5 linked regions of the Ovis aries genome follow. The protein of the gene in region 2 interacts with the protein of the main gene of each other region in a biochemical or structural test. Links are inferred from orthologs where the notes say so. Each region holds a gene or a part of one and is shown on either strand. Other genes may lie near its edges. The genes, in order: CRADD, RIPK1, OTUD1, BIRC2 and TNFAIP3.

What was found.
Region 1: the proteins of RIPK1 (region 2) and CRADD form a complex in vitro, tested with the Homo sapiens proteins (2 studies listed by BioGRID). The link is inferred for Ovis aries from reciprocal best matches to the Homo sapiens genes RIPK1 and CRADD.
Region 3: of the proteins of RIPK1 (region 2) and OTUD1, one has a biochemical effect on the other in vitro, tested with the Homo sapiens proteins (2 studies listed by BioGRID). The link is inferred for Ovis aries from reciprocal best matches to the Homo sapiens genes RIPK1 and OTUD1.
Region 4: of the proteins of RIPK1 (region 2) and BIRC2, one has a biochemical effect on the other in vitro, tested with the Homo sapiens proteins (6 studies listed by BioGRID, with this or other methods). The link is inferred for Ovis aries from reciprocal best matches to the Homo sapiens genes RIPK1 and BIRC2.
Region 5: of the proteins of RIPK1 (region 2) and TNFAIP3, one has a biochemical effect on the other in vitro, tested with the Homo sapiens proteins (2 studies listed by BioGRID). The link is inferred for Ovis aries from reciprocal best matches to the Homo sapiens genes RIPK1 and TNFAIP3.

What each region holds. Positions count from the first base shown.
Region 1 is NC_056056.1:130,163,167-130,166,680, reverse strand, and holds part of CRADD (death domain-containing protein CRADD), read right to left. Parts: intron 2,310-3,514; coding exon 2,008-2,309; 3' UTR 1-2,007. UniProt on the Homo sapiens protein: Adapter protein that associates with PIDD1 and the caspase CASP2 to form the PIDDosome, a complex that activates CASP2 and triggers apoptosis.
Region 2 is NC_056073.1:49,697,687-49,701,978, forward strand, and holds the start of RIPK1 (receptor-interacting serine/threonine-protein kinase 1), read right to left. Parts: upstream 2,802-4,292; 5' UTR 2,542-2,801; exon of another isoform or gene 2,371-2,541; intron 2,094-2,370; exon of another isoform or gene 1,444-2,093; intron 709-1,443; exon of another isoform or gene 447-708; intron 1-446. UniProt on the Homo sapiens protein: Serine-threonine kinase which is a key regulator of TNF-mediated apoptosis, necroptosis and inflammatory pathways.
Region 3 is NC_056066.1:23,757,021-23,761,323, reverse strand, and holds the start of OTUD1 (OTU domain-containing protein 1), read right to left. Parts: upstream 2,806-4,303; 5' UTR 2,614-2,805; coding exon 1,165-2,613; 3' UTR 1-1,164. UniProt on the Homo sapiens protein: Deubiquitinating enzyme that specifically hydrolyzes 'Lys-63'-linked polyubiquitin to monoubiquitin.
Region 4 is NC_056068.1:6,036,678-6,040,191, forward strand, and holds part of BIRC2 (baculoviral IAP repeat-containing protein 2), read right to left. Parts: intron 1,354-3,514; coding exon 1,275-1,353; intron 672-1,274; coding exon 623-671; intron 1-622. UniProt on the Homo sapiens protein: Multi-functional protein which regulates not only caspases and apoptosis, but also modulates inflammatory signaling and immunity, mitogenic kinase signaling, and cell proliferation, as well as cell invasion and metastasis.
Region 5 is NC_056061.1:63,031,973-63,035,486, reverse strand, and holds part of TNFAIP3 (tumor necrosis factor alpha-induced protein 3), read right to left. Parts: intron 2,628-3,514; coding exon 2,437-2,627; intron 1,802-2,436; coding exon 1,654-1,801; intron 1,499-1,653; coding exon 1,328-1,498; intron 490-1,327; coding exon 309-489; intron 1-308. UniProt on the Homo sapiens protein: Ubiquitin-editing enzyme that contains both ubiquitin ligase and deubiquitinase activities.

The sequences.
Region 1 (3,514 bases), on a different chromosome or scaffold from region 2:
ACTAATAAAATGTCATCTAACTGAGTGCAGTCCAGCCCAGCTGTACTCCCTCATCCATAAATGCGGTGAGAACAAAAGCTGAAATAACTCTCTGTTAGCAAATCCGGGGGACGAACAGCAACGCAAGTCCAGAGTTCAAAGTGACAAGCAGTTATTGAAGATACTGCGGAAGTACAGTCACTCAGTGCAATGATGAGGCCAAAAGTTTAAGGATTTTACAAGATCATGAATTAATGACTGGACTACAGGATGGAAAATTAGAGGTGATAAGACCAGTGAGCCAAACTGCCAAACTGCTGGACTGTTAAATAACTGATCCTTTTTAGGAAAGAGAATATGGTTACCAGACACCTGACAGAATGTAATTAACACACCACTGTCATCGTCTTGAAGACCTACCTTCTGTCAAACCTCACTACTCCTATGCTTCCCCTCAGAATATTTTTCCCTTTGAAGAATTCTGAGTTAGGTTGGTATTGGGAAATAGATTCTCCAATTATTCCAAAGGATGGATCACAAATGGGAATGTTCACCTGTTACTGTTTAAAATAAATTATTATGACTTAGTTATTTGGCTATCCTGGGCCTTAGTTGTGGCATGAGGATCCCTCAGTCTTTACCTGCAGCATGTACACTTCTAGCTGCAGAATGTGGAATCTAGTTTCCTGACCAGGGATCGAACCTGGGCCGCCTGCATCGAGAGCATAAGTCTTAGTCCCTGGACCACCAGGGAAGTCTGCACTCTCTTTATTGGACTCATAATAGCATTAATAAAAGCAGATCACCTTTTAAAGCTTGACCAGAAACATGGTAACAGCACTTCCTCCTACAGAACCCTCAGCTTTAGCCACTGGTCCCCTTGACCTGGGAACTGTATCCATGTTTAGCCACGGCAGAAAATTAACAGCTACCATTTCCCAAGAGCTGACGACGGGCCAGGCACTGGATGAGCCCAAGGCAGACGTTATTCTTTCACTTGTCACAAGTATCTTGGAGGTGAGGACAGTCATTGCCTCACTCTACAAATGAGGAGACTGAGGCTTAAAGAAGTAAAGTAACTTGTCCAGGGAGATGCTGCTAGTAAATCACTCCATCTTGCTACAGGATGGAGCTCACCTCTTGCTCAACTACTTCACAGGCTTTTTGTGAGATCCAAATGAGATCCTATGTACTAAAGGCCTTGAAAACAGTAGAGCATTTGACAAATAGCATGTGTTATTTTAAAAAGTCAGAAGACTAGGTCATAGATAGACCTTAGGAGCATAACGCGTCAATCATCACAGCTTCAGGAGAAAGACCACACTGTCCCCCAACCTCCAGTTCTTTAAATAAAGGGCACAGGATTTTCTTAAGCAAATCTTTTAAAGCTAAAGGGCTCAGGTATGCATGCTGGTACTTGAACTGGTCTTTGCAGGGAGCTTTAGTGTCTTAACTTCAATGCAGACACCCTGCCTGAGCTATTCATCCTGACTAGAGCAAGTAACTATTCCACTGTTACTATCAATTCTGTTCTAAAGACACAACTACCATAATTTTATACCCTAAATCTAGGCAATACAAGAATGAAAGGGGGAAAAAAAGCAATACTTTCTCATGAAAGGGCTACATTATATACAGCAATTTGTTTTTATTATTGTCATCATTAATAGTTAAGTCCACTGTAGAGTTCCCAGGCAACATAAAAGTGGGTGATTTATACACAGAATACCTGTATTTTTTTTTTTAACGAGTAGGACTCACCAGTCTATTAAAAGGCAACCACACAATTAAAACCTGCACAATTCAAAAAATGCAGTATTTGAGCAATTAGAAAGTCAACTGTCAATTCATTCTGGCAAATCTCCTGAGTAATCCCGCTTGTCAACTAACGTCAAGTGCAAATTCCACTATTTCCTCTCATCTAAAAATCACCATGACAAAGAAACAACCCCACCCCCAAATCTACCTGCCCTGGTGAGAGTCTCGATTCAGCCATGTGACTAGCCCCAAGCATGGACGAGGGCCCAGTCATTCCAACATGTGCTGGAGCACCGAGGGGTCCACGTCCACTGCCTGGAGGCCCCTGTGCAGGCTCTGGAAGGTGGCCTCCTTCCCGAAGCGCTGCCTCCAGCGCACGAAGGCCTCCACCACCTGGGACTGCACGTTGTGGGGATGGTTGGCCTTACAGCGGTAGATGTCTGTCTGGGATAGCCCCAGAGACAGCACCACAGGCTCCCACTCGGGGCCCAGCCTCAGGGCCAGCTGGTTGATCTGCCGGTCGGACGGGGAGCTGTGCAGGATGTGCGGGGGGATTCCAGCCATCCGGGCATCTGGGGAGGAGAAAGACACCATGGTGAAGAGAGGGAGGCAACATATTAGACAGCGAGAAAAGGGTTAGGTGCTCAACTGTGTCTGACTCTACGTGACCCCATGGACTAGAGCCCGCCAGGCTCCTCTGTGCATGGGTTTCTCCAGGCAAGAACACTGGAGTGGGTAACCATTCCCTTCTCCAGGGGATCTTCCCAACCCAGGGATTGAACCCAGGTCTTCTGCACTGCAGGCAGATTCTTTACTGTCTGAGCCACCAGGGAAGCCCAAACACATCAGACGGGCAGGGCCAGGCAGAAATGATGACACACATCCCAAGCGTCAGGGGCCAACTTTTAGTCTTCACAGGGGCTGCTCAGCAAAAAGCCATATGCAGGGGCTTAAGAAGCACTTAGCACCTAGGGATAGGTTTATTACAGAAAATGTGAAAACAAGAAAATAAAAATAACCTGAAATCCCATCAGAGAAACACCCATTCAAAATACTTCGGTCTATTTCTTTTCAGTCTTTTTAAAAAAATTTTTTTATTTTTACTTTATTTTCAGTCTTTTATGCATAAAACATACATTTAGGATTACACTGCGGGTACTGCTCAGATGTTAAAGAATCTGCCTGCAATAGAGCAGACCCAGGTTCAATCCCTGGGTAGGGAAGATCCCCTGGAGAAGGGAATGGCAACCCACTCCAGTATTATTGCCAGGAGAACTCCATGGGCAGAGGAGACTGGCAGGCTATGGTCCATGGGGTTACAAAGAGTTGGACACAGCTGAGCAACTAACACACACGATACCTTGTAACACGCATTTTTCACTTTCATCTCCTTCACTAGGGAGGCCAAGCTGAAGCTTCTGGGGGCACCTAAGGATGCCTTTGTGGCCCTCCTCCCTCTGGAACTGGCCTGTGGTGTTGCGTCCTGTAGGAATGGCCAGTGCTAGAGGGTAATTTGCTAGAGGGTAACGGGCTGTACAGAACAGCTAGTCTCTCCTGACCAACGTGAACACCTCCGAGAAAAGTGACAGTTGCTACAGAAGCATGAGCTAAGAAAGGCCCGAAGCAAGAAATAAAAGGCCATGAGGGAGCAGCACAGATCACGGGAGAATGACCACCTGGCTGAGCTCAGAAGAGAGCAAGCATGCGCTGCCGACAGCAGTGGCAGAGCCTGACAGTGCAGCCCCTAAACGGGAGCCCTGTCTCCCCAAGGCCAGCC
Region 2 (4,292 bases):
AACAGAGAATATAACGGTCTATTTTAATGGATTTTCAAAATTAATTGGAAAATTAATTGAAATTAATTGGAAATTAATTGAAATTAATTGGAAATTCCAAGAAACTTCACAAGTTATCTGTAAGTCTATATAAAAAATATTCATATCGACATTCAATTTTGTCAACTATACTTCAGTAAAACTGGGGAAGAATACAAATAACTAACAATATATAACATCAAAAAGCCAGGGAAAATGAATCTACAATGTTAACACTTAGGGCAGTAGTTACTGAGAGGTGGAAGCAGCCAGCAGGGAAGGAAGGAAGTGTCGGGCGTGAGGGCGATACTTGTCTCTTCTTAATGTTCACTTCAGGACAATTAAGAGAGTCAAACAGTTATGATGTGTGTTCTTTTCTGTGTATCACAATAAATAATTTTTTTAAGTTAAAAAAATTTCATATTTACCTTTAAGTGGTTGAGGGCGATTTTTTTCAGTGTTTCAGTGAGGACCATACATGAGGAGTCTGACAGAAAATGCTGGCTACCCGACTATCATGACCCCCTTTTCCTCTGCACATGGAACTCTGTTTTTACTCAGGCATCCAATGGGAATTTCTCAAGGTTCTTTGATTTTAACTGCTTGATGCTTTGCCTCAGATAAACAAGAGCTCTGAGCAAGAGAGAAAACTACAAGAGTTCAACCCAGTGTATCTTGCACATGATGACCCTGTGAAGTACCAACTTATTAATACATCGGTTCCAAGTTACAAACTGAGAAACTATAATTTGGAGTTTAATGATTCACCTAGAGTAACAGATCCCAGAATTGAGTCTTAATGTCTTCACTCAAATTTCCACTATCAGTTCAGTAACACATGCTACTTCTCCAGAGAGTAAACAATAATTTGTCTTCCTTAAAATCAGATTCAAAGACCTAATCTTACAATTTTGCTCACCTATACTAAATAAGTATGCTACATTCAGAAACATAGGGAAAGTACAGACTAAATTTTAAAAACATATGAAAACATGCGGTTCAAAATCAATATTCTACAGGTTAACACGATCATTTTTGCCGAAGTATAACGTCCAACCATAGCATGGGAAGCTGTGCTTTTTCAAATTCCCAGCTCATACTGGTGGTATTACCATGTTGTTGATTAATAAGCATCCAAGAGAAATTTTCAATTTTGGAAACTGTTATTTAGGGATATTTTTCTTTATTCTCGTGAATATTCACAATCCTGAAAGTGCAATGTATCTGTGGTGCTCAATTCAGCTCAGTGAAGCATGCAAATTACAGTTAATCATGATAGTTGTTTTACCAGTAATAATAATTACGATGATGAGATACCTCAACTGCTTTAAACAAGCTTCCTCTTTCCCTTTTGTGTTTAGAAGGGGGCAGTTCCCCATACTTATAATTGACTACAATCTCCTCCCCACTCTTGCACCTACGTACCTGATGGTTACAAAACGTAGATCAAGGAAGAAGTCACTCCTGCCTTGATTTCTTCATGTGTGAATGGAGGGAGAAGTAATAGCGGTTCTATTGCAAAGTCGCTTGAGTGTAACGGGCCTCGGGCTTTGTCCAGGACACGCAAGAGCTCCGAGCAAGGAAGAGCCGAAGGAACAGCGAGAGACAAAGTAATGAACAGTAACCCCGCCTCTGTGGGAGGCTGTCCAGCGTGAGCAAAGAAGGGTGGCGCTCACCCTCTTCAAAACTCTAAAGAGGCTACGAGAGCGTGTGCGCGCTCAGTCACTTAGTAAAAGCACGCGCCACCGGGGGACGACGCCCTCCCCGCCGTGCCCGTCGACCCTTCTTTCCCAGCTCTCCTCGAAGACGGCGCGGGAAGGCGTCTGACGGCGTCGCGAGCAGCGGCGGCCCCGGCGCCCCCGTGACCCGGGGCGGCGAAAGCTCGTAACGACACCGCAGGGAAGACCGGCCACCTCCCCTGACACCACAGCGCAAACCACGTGGCGGGCCGTCTCCACCTCAGGCAGTTATCGCGCGGGAGCCAAATCTCTGCCCGGTCCCGCCAGACCCAAACTCCCGGCGAGACGAGACGCCGCAGGGACCGCCGACGGCTGGCAGTTGGGCGCTCGACTTCCGGGAGCTCGCGGGCCACGCCCACCCTCCTACTGGCTCACCATCTGACTTCCGGGAACTCGCGGGCCACGCCCACCATCCTACCGGCTCACCGTCTGACTTCCGGGAACTCGCGGGCCACGTCCACCACCCTAAAGGCCCACCGTCTGCCTTCTGAGAACTCGCGGGCCACGCCCACCACCCCACTGGCCCACCGCCAGACCTCAGGAACGCCGCGGGCCACGCCCACCGCCCGAACTCCGGCAGCCGCGTCGCCCGCCCCACCCACCGGAAGCAGAAGCCCCGCCCCCTGCCGGAAGCCTGCCCCAGAGACTGGTCTGGGCCCGGCGGTCCCGCGCTGACGCACCGAGAGATTCGCTTTCGCTTTCGCGGGAGACTTCCTGAGGCCCCAGGCCGGGTGAGGAAGGAGGCGGCGGGGCAGCCTAGAGTTGCTCCGACGCCCGGCAGTACCTGGCCGGCGCAGGCCGGGGTGGCACGCCGGGCCCGATTAGGGGTCTCCGGGGCGGAGCCGTCGGCTGGGAGGCGGGCGGGGACCGCCCCGCCTTGCCCTGCCCTCACCGCGCCCGGCTCCGCGGGCCAGCCGTCCGTCGCGTGCTGTCCAGTGGTCGGCGCGCTCGGGCTCCTCGCGGAGTGGGCCCGCTGGGGCCCCGCGCTCCGGGGTCAGCGCTCCGGGACACCGATGCGGTGTCCGCGCCGCCGGCGCTTCGACTGAGGGAGCCCGGCCGGCGGAGGGCGTGGACTGCTCGCTCCGCCTCCGCTCCTGCCCCTGAGGAGGGTGGGGAGAGCGCCCGCCCCGCGTCTGGAAAGGTCTCCGGGCCCGTTCTGAAACCCCGGGACGCGCTCAGACTGAGGATCGTGCTCTCAGAGCGGTTTGGGAGGCCGAGAGGACAGAGGAAATGCCGAGTCACGGAAACCACTCACAGAAACCTGCCGGGCGCGGCGGGCAGGGCCGGAGACGATGGGCTGCTTCCCCGGGGGATTCTGAGCTCTGCAGGTCAGCAGCGCGGGAACCCTAGGCAGCAAGCTCCCAGGCATTTATCTCCTTCACCTGTGAAGTGGGGATAATCTCTTCTGTGGGGCTGCGGAGGAACCAGCATCATACGAGGATGGTTGGGAAGTCTGAAGCAAAATGGGAAATGGTTGCTATAGTGTTATGATGAAAAGTTGATTATATATATAGCATGATTACATACTATAAAAAGATATCTGGAGGTAATGAGATGCCACAAACTGAGAAAATATTTGCAGAAAGCATAGCTGATAAAATACTGTTACCCAAAGTATACTAGAAATGCCAGAGAAGGAAAAATGCAATTGAGAAAAGGCAAAAGATCTCAACAGACTTCTCACGATACAAATGACAAGTAAGTATATGAAAAGATGCTCAATATTATAGGATATTAGGAAACTGTGAAAAACCAATGAGATGCCACCACATATTGTCTGCCTAAAATAAATGGACTGCCAACTATTTCTCTAGCATAAACAAGTTTATTATGAAAAGAATTGCAATTTGAGGTCTGCCACCCTGGGAACTTGCATGCAAATGGAGAGGACACCTTTATGGGGGAAAAGGAAGTTGGAGAGATGTTTTAAAAGTCCACTGCTTTTCATGGGCTGAATCATTGCCGGGGAAAAAAAAAGATTTCTGCTAGAAAAGATTCTCCAGCCTTTCTATCTCCTGACTCTTTGAGATTTGTTTTTTGTGTGTTTGTTTTTTACATTTCCCCCTTTTGATCAGAATCTCTCAGAAAGCAGTGGTGATCCAAGTGTGAGATTTTTGTGTGTCAGTGACTTCGTATCTCAATGCCAGGGAGGCCCTTTCCTTTGTACAATTTCACATCCGAGGGAAAGTGTGGATTGCAAACCTATTGAGGTTCCATTTGAGTAACAAGGAGTAGCAGAACTGTGAACACTTTTTGCCTAAAGTTCACACATTTCCAGGATAACAGACAGTGGCGATCATCTGAAGTGTCGTCATCGAAAGTGTGGTGACCAACTCCAACAGGCCTGTTCTGAGTATTTTGGGAAAACTGTCTCATTAGAAGTCATCTGCTTCAATTCTGAACAGTCTACTCTCAGGTCACCAGATGACATGCAGGTCCAGTAGGGGTAGCGCTCTCTTTAAGTGTGTCACGTGAGTCCAAGAGTCAATCCCTTAGAGTCTGCTGTCACGCGAGTCGGTTAGGAGCACTTGACAG
Region 3 (4,303 bases), on a different chromosome or scaffold from region 2:
GTACAAAAAAAATCACAAAATGTTACAAAATAAAAAAGTACAAACTGCATTACTTAATAAATACCACTAAAAGTAGTTAAAGTGGAAATGAGATAGATTTTAGGTTGAAAACATTGTTTGACCCAGCAAACCATACAAGCTCTGTATAGACATTTGTACTGTACATAATGCAGGGCAATCCTATTTTGCCTTGTGAAAGAATTTAAAAGGAATAGACCATTAAGACAGTATTCTCCTGCTATAAAATAATTGCCAGGGTTGATTGGAGGCATTTATGCCATTAATTTTCAAATCTCTCAGTTGAATCCAAGAAACTATATATGAAGCAGGAGGCTTATCTTGTCACAAAGTTTTCTATCATGTTAAAAAATTCTTTTCAACAAAAGACAAATATAAATAAGAACAACCGAGAGCACCAGACAATCTAAACATCAACTGGAGTACAGAATAATCACTCTGCCATCAGCAAATATCAGACTTTCATTCAAGTAAGAGCTGGTACTATTCTTTAAAAAAAAAAATCTTCCCACAACCTCCCCTTAAGTATTTTCTCTTTAAAAGGTTGACCATTTCTAGAAAAATAATGATTTTCCAAACAACTAATCTGTCATCAAAACGGAATGGGCCAATTATCTGGTAACATGAAAGCATCAATAGCCATTTGAAATAATTATCTAAGAACTCTAAAATTCAAATCCAACAACATAAAATACGAAATCACAAACTCTGCTCAAAATAATAAACTTCATATAAAGCACTTCTCTGGATTTATGCCGGAAAGCTGTTTGTCAAAATGGATCACATCCTAGATGAAGGTACACCAATTGTTAAAAATGTTGTGCAAAAATACGTTTTTATAGAAAATAGATTACCAGGAATGAACAAATTTACACTGAGAAATCAGCTTGCAAATTAAGTAGTGCCAACTTTATACAGCAAATCATAAATAGCAGTAGGATCACCCAAAGCTACTATGAAACATCATTTAGGTGCCCAGCAACCTTCAGCTCTGAGGAGAAAACATTCAAAAAAATGATTAAGGCATTACACCTACAGTAAATCTACTAGAAAGTTTAAAAGTGCAATTACCCTGATTAAAGTTCATATAACTCTCCAAACACAAATTAGGTATGCAATTTTCCCAGGCCGAGGGTCTCAGACACTTCAAGAGCATGCATTTTGCTCAATATACATTTTGGACAGGGATATGGCCATGGACTTCGCAAGTTCTTCATCGCGTTTTCTCTGCACTTGAGTCTGCCTGCACCAAGTGTCATACTCCGGGTTCGGATACGAGTGATCAAACACCGCGTCATAATGTCCGTTACTGAGCCAACTGAGCCAAATGCTAGGCCTTAGGGAATCCTCCGGGCCCAAATAGTGAATCATGGTAGACACCGTGGGGCTCTCCAGCCTCCCTCCAGTAGTCAGATGGATATTCACATTCAGCATCTGCCCCATGGCCAGCAGTTCGGGGTACCCGGCCCAGGCCCCGTCCTGGGCAGCAGCGATGATAAACTCCCCCACGTCGCCCTCAATCAAGGGGCTAAAGTGGTCGAGATGGTCGGCGATATAGTGCACCGTCTGTTCCCGTAGCTCCCGGTGCAGGCTCTGGTCCCCGTACACCGCCTTGCTTACCGCCCGGTAGAGGCAGTTGCCGTCGGGAATGATGTGAAATCGGTACTTGTTCCTCTGCCGCAGGTACTTGTCCTGCCTCTCCACCTCCGCCAGGTACAGGGCCAGCTTCTCGTCCCTAGGATCCGACCTGGACACGATCACCGCCTCGGTCGCGCCGCCCGGGGCCGCCTCGCCGCTCCGGGCCGGGGCCGCCTCGGCCTCCGGGTCGGGTCGCCCCGGCTCTTCGGCGCCGGGAGCGTCGCCGCGGTCGCCAGCTCTGTCCCAGCCGCGGAGGTTCCTCTCTGCCGGGCGCTCCTCGGCCCACGGGCCAGGGCCGGGCTCCGGGCTTCCCGGGGGCGGCGCGGGGCCGCGGTGCTTGGCGGCGGCCAGGGCCTGGCGGTGCTCGCTCAGTCGGAAGTTTCTGTCGGGCCCCTCGCGGGTCGCGTCCAGACCGGCAGGCTCCGGGCCATCGGGCCTCAGCAGCTCCTCCAGAAGCCAGGCCGAGGAGCCCCGCCGCGGCGGGATCGGAGCGCCTGGTGCCGGGGCCAGCAGGAGGCAGCGGCCGCGTGGGGCGGCGGAAGCCGCGGCGCCGGGCTCGGGGCCGCGCAGCAGGAGCCGGTCGGCGCCCAGGGCCCGCACGGTGATCTGCGCTGTGGACGTGTAGTGCGGCGGCAGAGGCGGCTTGCAGGACCCGCCGGGCGGCCCGGCGGCGGCGGCGGCCGAGGCGGGGGCGGCGGCCCCGGACACCATCTCGAAGCAGGAGGAGAAGGCGGGCATCTTGGCGGCGGGAGCGGCGGCGGCTTCGCGGGGCTCGGCGGCCGCGGCCGGCTGGCACTCACCGGTCTCGGGCTCCGGGGCGCCACCGGCGGGTCCCGGGGGCTGCAGAGAGACCTTGAACGAGGCGGCAGTGGCGGCGGCGGGCGGAGCGGCGGTTGCGGCCGTGGGACCCGGGCCCCCGGCTGGGTAGTGGGTGCAGACGCTGCTGTAGAGCTGCATGTCCCTGCCCGCCGCTCGGCCCCTTATAGGCGCGCCGAGCCCTAGTGAGGGGACACACCCTCCGGGCCCGGGGGAGGGGGCCGGCCGAGCGCGGTGACCCAGTGCCCTGAGAATAGAAATGACCGAAGGGCCGCCGGCGCGTCAGGAGCTGCAAATAGCGCCCGGGTCCCCGCCAAATTCCTGCTGCGCCACAGCGCGCGGTGGGGGCGGGGAGGGGACGCGCGCTCGACCCCTGCCGGCGCTAGCGGCCCGCAGACCCGGGACGCGTGCGCCCGCCGTCGCTGCTCCGGCCCGCGGCGGCCGCTGAGGACTCTCAGAGGTAGCCGCCCGCCCTGCTGGAGCGCGTCCCGCCGGCTAGCAGCTCTGCAGGGCGCGCGGACGAGCCAGGAGGCGGGGCCACGGTTGTTTACCTCAGGCAGCGCTGCCGCGTCACGTGCCCTTATTGGAATGTGCGGCTCGTCGCGGCGTCCCATTCAACCGCCGGGGCTCGCCCCACCCCCTCCGTCTCGCCCCGCCCCATTCGGTGACGTCATGGGCGTGGCCCGCAGCGCGGGCGACGGGCGCGCGGGCGGGAGGGCGCGGAGGCCTGTGCAGCCGTGGCCGCTGCCCCACCTCAGTGTTAGTTTCTAGGCGCCGCGCTTTTCTACGCTTTAGCGGTGGATCTTAGAGGGTTCGGGGCAGCTTGGGGCGGCCAAGAGTGCTGAAAGTGCGTTTCAAAACAAGCTTCCGAGTTCTGCGTGGGGACAGCTGCCCTAAAACCTGCATGGCCTCTGCATGGTCATTGCACCACTGCCATCTTTTTCACTCAACCCTGAGATTATATTGTTAACGTAGCAGTGTGACGCCTCCCTTTCTCCCCAGCACCTTGCCGCCCTGCTAAACCGAAACCAACTTTTCTGCTGTCCTAACCCGTATTTGATAAGCAAATACAAGTCTTGGGTGAAATACCAAATGCCTAACCGGGCCTCTTGAAAATAGGTGCAGCTGTTCACCGTAGGTCAGCGGTAAAGAGGGTCGTGATGCATTGCGAGAATGTTGAAATTGAATAGAATCTTGAACATAGTTCTACCCTATTGTGTTAGATGTCCCTGTTTGTAAAGGAAAGCTAAAATGGTCATGATCAACTTGTATACTGACTGTATAGCAGTGGGCAGCTCTTGCTATATTCTCAGCTTTGATCACATGCTAACTGACAGACCCTAAATGTTCAGAGTGAACCTACAAAGCTGTTTCACTGTTTCAGTGATGAGGAAATAGCTTATGTTATGGTATAAGCCTCCCCACTCCACGTATTGTTTTGTGAATCTTAGGTTCCCTGAATGGAAAGACTTAGTCTTGATGGCTATTATAGTTACAAACCCAGCACAGAGGCTGGCACATAGATGGAACTAATTAATATTTATTGAATGAGTTAATTAATGGAAGAGGAGTTCCCAAAACAGTGGAAAAGGCAGAATTACGATCCTGGTCTCCTGACCCCTAGCCAGAGCTTCAATTTGCCGTCGTGCGTGTGACTGACAGGATCCCAGCTGCCTTTGCCCAGGTCACTTGAACCTGTTAGGTAGGTCAACTGGAAGGAAAAACAACCACATAAAAGTCTAACCGTCTTTTCAGCTTCTGGTGACACCCCACTGTAAGCTTGTAGACCCCACTGGCTAACTAGAAAAAGGAAGTTACCTAAATTTCATCG
Region 4 (3,514 bases), on a different chromosome or scaffold from region 2:
ATCCAGACAGAAAGTTACTAAGGTAACAGCAGACTAAATAACACTTTACACTAAATGCCAGATGTAGCTAAAATTATAAACTATAATCAGAATATGTATTTCCTACCCTTGCACTAAAATACTACATACCAGGCAAATACTTTTCTAGCCCAATTCTCAAATCATGTAACCTGGCCCTTTCCAAACATGATAGTTTATACCAAATTTTCCCTCTTTGGAGGGCTTACTATTTGCTCCTCTCATTTGGTATTCCTATTTTGTCTCCCCAATTAGAATATAAGCACTTTAAGAACAAAAACTAGAATACTTCCAAGAATCCTCTAAAAATGTCATGAATCTTAGAAGATAGATGTGTGTGTATGTGCTCAGTCGCTCAGTCATGTCCGACTCTCTGCAACCCCATGGACTGCAGCCTGCCAGGCTCCTCTGTCCATGGAATTCTCCAGGCAAGAATACTGGAGTGGGTTGCCATTCCCTTCTCTAGAGGATAGAAAACGTACATAATATTTATTAGCTAACTTCTTAGCACTTTTTTCTATAACCCTAGAAATCCTTTATATACAAACTTTTATTTTCAATACTCTTAAATCCTATTCTTTATTCGGGATATTTTCATACATACTTGGTGGATCAGCATTTTCATCTCCAGGAGTATTTGCAGTTGACAACAGCTATGAAACAGGACAAAAAAAAAAAAAAAAAAGGTAAAATCCAGAATCTCAAACAATCTGAGCATAGCAACATTAAGGTAAGTTTATCTTAAGTACTATGCACATGCTTTGAAAACTGGGTAGTTTACATACTGCACTTTGCTATGCTTTATCTTAATCACCATAAAATATTTCCTTAAACTTCAGTTAATTCCATATTAGAATTTAAGTATCAGGAAAGCAGGAAAAAGTATTAATGGTTTCTCATTCCACTTAGAAAGTTGTATTTCAGCTTAACCACTCTCTGAGGTTCCAAATTCCTAAAAAGTTATTTTTTGTTTATTTTTCTCAAAAAGACGGAGTAGATACTAAAGACTCTTCTCCAACCCTACCACAAATCTGTACAGGGGCAGGTTATGTGACTTTTCAAAAAACTAAAAAATAGTTTTTAAAAGCCATGAACAGACAAGGTAGTCTGAAAATAAAACTTAAAAGTGTCATTAAGATGGACATAAAACATATAACTATAATTAACTTTAAAAAGATATAAAGATCACTTTTAATCATATTTTGTAATTGTTATCTAGGAGAATCCAATGTTGCCAATTATAAAAACATATTTACCTGTTCAAGAAGATGAGGATATCTAGCTTGAATCTCACTAACAAACTCCTGCCCTTTCATGCGTATCAAGAACTCACACCTAAAACATAAAAGGAAAATTTTTAAAATTCTTTTATGCCAAAAATATACTCTGATCATTCTAGAAATGCGGTTTTCAAACTCTTGGACTATATCCCATAGTACAAACATTTTACATCACAACCTAGTACACATATACACCTAACAGAAACAAAATTCTCATAAAACATCACAAATTTTTACTATGTATTGATACATTCTGATTTTTTTAATTACATTAATACAACAATAAAGGAGTCTGGACCTCAAAGGAGAAAAAGCTAAGACTTAGAAAATGCTGTTCCAGACAATTTACTTTGCGAGTTTAACATAAGTTTCAGGAACTGTAATGTGGTATGCCTAAAATATGATCTTTCACAAAATGACTGCTAATCTTTCTCCACTGTCCACTCTTCCATTATACAGAAAGCACAAATCCCCTAAAAAAATAGAGTATCAAGTATTTTCATCTATATATACTGTGACAGTGTTTCCCAAATACTTGCTTTCAAATTACTAGAATTTCTCAATGGTTATTCCAGGAAGTTCATATAACATTTGTTTCTATTTCTTCCCTTTTGATTTTTCAACAAATGGACATAGACAACTCAATATTCATAAATATTAGCCTTTATCTATGTCCATACTGTACACAGAAACAAACTAAAAATGGACCAGATGCTTAAATACAAAACCTAAAACAATATAACTTCTAGAAGAAAACACAGGAGACAATCTTTTTGTCCTTAGGTTAAGTAAAGATTTCTTAGCTAATAAACCAACAGCATAATCCATAAAAGATAAATTGATAAACTGACATCATCAAAATTAAAAACTCCTGCTCATCAAATACACTGTTAAAAAGATAAAAAAGAAAGTCACAGACTGAAATGTTCCAGAACACACCTGATGCAGAACCTGTATCTAGAATACATTAAGAACTCTCAAAACCTAGCAATTAAAAAAAAAAAACAACTTCTTGAAAAGAGACACTTCATCAAAGAAAACACAGTTCCAAGAATGAAGAACCCACAGATACAAAGGGCTGACTCTACTATGTCTTATGAGGAACTTGAGCACCCATGGATTTTGGTTTCTTGAGGGGAAACCCTGGGAGTGTCCTGGAACCAATTCCTTGCTGACACTGAGGGACAACTTATATAGACAACAAATAAACATCATTAATCACTAAGGAAATGCTAATTAAAATCACAGTGAAATACCACTACACATCTATTAGAATGGCTAAAATAAAAAAGATACTACCACATGTCATTAAGAATCTGGAATACTTGGAGGTCTCATACATTCCTGGTGTGAATTTAAAATGATACAGCCACTTCAGAAAACAATCTGGTAGTTTCTTCTAAAGTTACAATGGTAAATAAAACTTGCCATCCAACCCACTAATCCCAATTCTAAGTATTTAAAGTATTTACCTAAATGAAATGAAAACAAGTTCACAAAGGTTTACTAATTTTTAGAGTGGCTTTACTCATTATTGCTCCAAAATGGAAACAACCCAATGTCCTTCAGGTGGTGACTGAGGTAGATTTAGTAGAGATCATGTAAACATGCTCATGACTCAAGTCATCATGCCGAGAACACAGCTTGTTCCTGATCTTAATATAGGTCTAAATTATTTTTATTCTGGGATTAACTTATAATGATTAAAGATAGGAAGTATACTGAACATTGGCTGCTCCATATTTCCTCCTTCCAATAAATTCTATGAGGACTAAGATTTCTGTCGTATCTTATTCACTGTTAATATCTCCAGCATCTAAAGTAGTATTCACAAGCATATAGGGAAATAGGTGAAAGTGATTTAGATATAAAATTCAATGATAAAATAAATAAGCCATGGGGACATAATATACATACAGCAAAAACAATGTGGTTAGAAGCAATTATGACTTTGTTGTTGAAGTGTTAGTCGCTCAGTCGTGGCCGAGTCTTTGTGAACTCCATGGACTGTAGCCCGCGAGGCTCCTCTGTCCATAGAGTTCTCCAGGCAAGAATCCTGGAGTGGGCAGACATTCCCTTCTCCAGGGGATCTTCCCCACCCAGAGATCAAACCCAGGTCTCTTGCATTACAGGCAGATTCTTTACTGTCTGAGTCACAAGGGAAGCCAAAAGCAATTTTTATACTTCAAAGAAAAAAAAAAATTTTAATATGGTCA
Region 5 (3,514 bases), on a different chromosome or scaffold from region 2:
TTTCACTTGTTAGTCTAGCACTAGGGCAATTAAAAGAAAAAAAAGTATCCTTGATGTGAACGCACTTTTTGAAGCCACCGTGCTGGCTTCCAAGCATCCAGATACACAGGACAAGCCTCTGGAAAAATTCCTTGTTTTCATTTGAAAACCAAAGTCAGTGCCACTTAAGCTGATTGTCTCTGACACACACAAGCCCCTAAATTTGTTTCACGTTGGAGGAAACTGGCTTCAAATAACTTTACTATTGGTCTCTGAGGCAGAAGCAGCTTAAAGATGACACAGGAAAGAGCCAAAAACAAACTGCTTACTTTGCAGCATTAATTAAATGGGTGGTGCCATGGTCCCAGCCCTGAACGGGGATTTCTACCACCATCAAGTACTCTTTCAGGAGATTTTCCTTCATCTCGTTTTCAGGAACTGTCAAAAAGTGAACTTTTAAGTCTTCAAATCGTCCTCGCTCTCTGTTAACAAGTGGAACAGCTCGGATTTCTGAGGGAAAAAGAAATAGCACGTAAGCAAAATGATTCTACTAAACAAGATTTTGTGTGAGGTCATATATATATATAACGACTGCATTTTGAAAATGCAGAAAGGATACAATTACAGAATGGAAAAGTATTATCTAGCCACAAAATCAAATGGGGAAACAAACTGTGCTAAACTCTAATATAAAATATACTGTTTCCAGGAAGTTCACAGAATATAAAGCAGCCTCCAAGCAGCGGGTCTTACTGGTTAAATTACTGCACTTCAGATTCAGACTGACCTGAGTTCAGATTCTGACTCTGCCACTATCCAGCTCTGTGATATTAGGGAAGTTACTTAACTTCTCTGAGCTTCAGGTGCCTCATCTGTACAGTAAGGCTATCAGTGCTTATAGCATCCACATGGATGCTGTGAAGATGAAATGAAATAAAATATTGTACCTAAAGCATTTATAAAGTACCCTATTAGTTCCACATTAAGCTAGTACAGTAATAGCTAGCCTGCCAGACATTTACTTGCCCCAGGCCAGGCACTGTATTACGGGTTAATTAAGAAATGGTGGCAGTAATAGACATTATCTCCTATTTGCCACTAACATGCTCAAAGTCGGTCCCAAACGACACACAAAACAAGAGGGGATGGGGGGGGCATTATGATTAGTGTGAGTGCATTATTGTTGCTAATCAAACAAATTACAGAATACTATATTTAAATAAAACTAATATACTTAAATGAGGCTTTCAAAAAGGAGCCAAAGAGCAAACCCTGACGTTCAGTAAGAACAGGGTGTAGCAGGATTCAGAAGCAGTTACAAATGTGAATAGATGCTTGGTTTTCTCACCAGGTCCACTGTCCTTCATGGTCACCAGGGGTACAAAGTGTTGGCTGTCATAGCCGAGCACAATGGGGTATCTGTAGCATTCCTGGGCAGGCCAGTGCAGAGGCAGGTAAATCCCACCCACCTTCAGAGGAGCAAAATTGGAACCTGATTCCAAACTTCTCAGCATTTTGTCTGTTTAAGGAAAGAGAAAGAAAAGATAAGGCCCTCTGAGACTTTCATGGGAGTCCATTTAGCTATGGATGCTTGGAACTTGGGTCATGCTAAGAGGTAAGGGATTAAAGCTGAAAGGCACCTAAATACAGAGACGCCATCAGCAGGCATCTCACCTGAAATGACAATGATTGGCCTTCTGAGGATGTTGCAAAGGACAAATATGTGTATTTCTTCCAGTGAATGATACTGCAGTCCACCTCGGGCTGCAGGTGTGTCTGCGGATGCCATCTTGACGAGGTTGTCCCATTCATCGGTCCAATTCTAAGGGGAGAGGAAAGAAACTATTGAATGCATTCTGCATTAAAAAACAACTTTGGCTCCACTCTATAATTATTCACTGGTATCACTGAGCTTACTTTTACCCTTTCTTAAGATCATCACTCAAATTATCACCCATTTTCCCCCCAATTCTGGTTTTCTTCCTTTACTTTTTCCCATTACAAGGCAAACTCAGAAGCAGAGGAGCAGGGGGACAGCACCTGCTTTCAGAAAAATCCCTGCTGAAACACCACGCCGAGCTCCTTGTGCACAGAGTCCCAGCCTTGTGGCCGAAGATGGGGAGGTGCCCTCTGAATCTGACTGACGGGCTCAGTAAAGCAAGCAAGGGTCATCAAACTCCCCAAACAGCCAAAATGCCACAGGGAAACCTGTGATCAGAAAGATCATTCTAGAATGACTCTCCAGCTGGGAAGATGCTGCCTGGGAGCCTCCCAGCAGTGACAAGGGCCTTGGGTTCATCCCATGGGAGGTTTCTGGTGTTTTCCATTGACTCTGCTTAGCCAAGTTCACGTGACCCAGCAAACCATATGCTCCCTGACAGCAGGGACTGGCTGGAGATGCAGTTTTCCCACCATGGAGCTCTGTCAATAAATGTTTGAGGAGGAACCCCAACATACCCGGGTGTCGTAGCAAAGCCCAGTTTCCACGAATTCCTGAGACTTAAGAGACTCCAGCTGCCAGCGGAATTTAAAGTTGCGCGTGTCCGTCTCCTTGAGGGTGCTGAAGAGCACCTTCCTCAGGACCAAGTCTGTGTCCTGAACACCCCACATGTACTGAGAAGCCGCGTGCATGAGGCAGTTTCCGTCACCTGAGGACAGAAGGGAAGCAAATTCTAGCAATCCGAATCTAAGGCCTAGCAGAGGTTTCCAGAATAAACCAGCCTCTCTGCTACCGTAAGTGGGGACCCAGTAGTGCTTGTGAGAAACGCCAAAGGTTTAGTTTCTTTCTTTTTTTTAATTTAAATTTATTTATTTTAATTGGAGGCTAATTACTTTACAATATTGAATTGGTTTTGCCATACATCAACATGAATCCGACATGGGTGTACATGTGTTCCCAATCCTGAATCCTCTTCCCACCTCCCTGTCAAAGGACCAGCTGGTAACATTTCACTAGGTGATGACAGCTTTAAGGGAAAAATAAAAAATCTTTCTTGTAACTCTTCTGTTTAATGAATGCTTCTAACAAAGCCCAAGGAACCAAGGACTGAGAGTCTGGAGACCTTGACTCCAGTCTGGTTCTGCCCTCAGTGGGGAATTTTTTAACCTCTGAGTATTTTTCCTCTTTGTGAGATGAGGGTATTGGATTATGATCTCTGAAGTCCCTTCCTTTCTAACAAGCCTTGATCTTCTGGCTCAGATGCTGGTCCTATTGCTCTCTGACCCTGAGAGAGAACACCCAGAGCAACATGCTCAAACCAGGAAGCTGGTCTGGCTCCGCTTACTAGACAGGGACCGTCTGGCCATGACTCAGGGGTAAATGACTTGACCAGCCCACCACAGCAAGCAGGGCCTGGGAGTTTCCTCTCCTGATTTATAAAATGGGATTGAGACGGAATTACCTACTAGCCTGCTCACCCCTACCTCCCATAAATGCCTTGTGTGAACCCGCCTGTTAGCAATTAGAGTCCCTTTTCAGAGTTAAAGAGTGTCTAGATGTCTACATTTGAAAATTGATTCAGTGTTTACGGCTGGC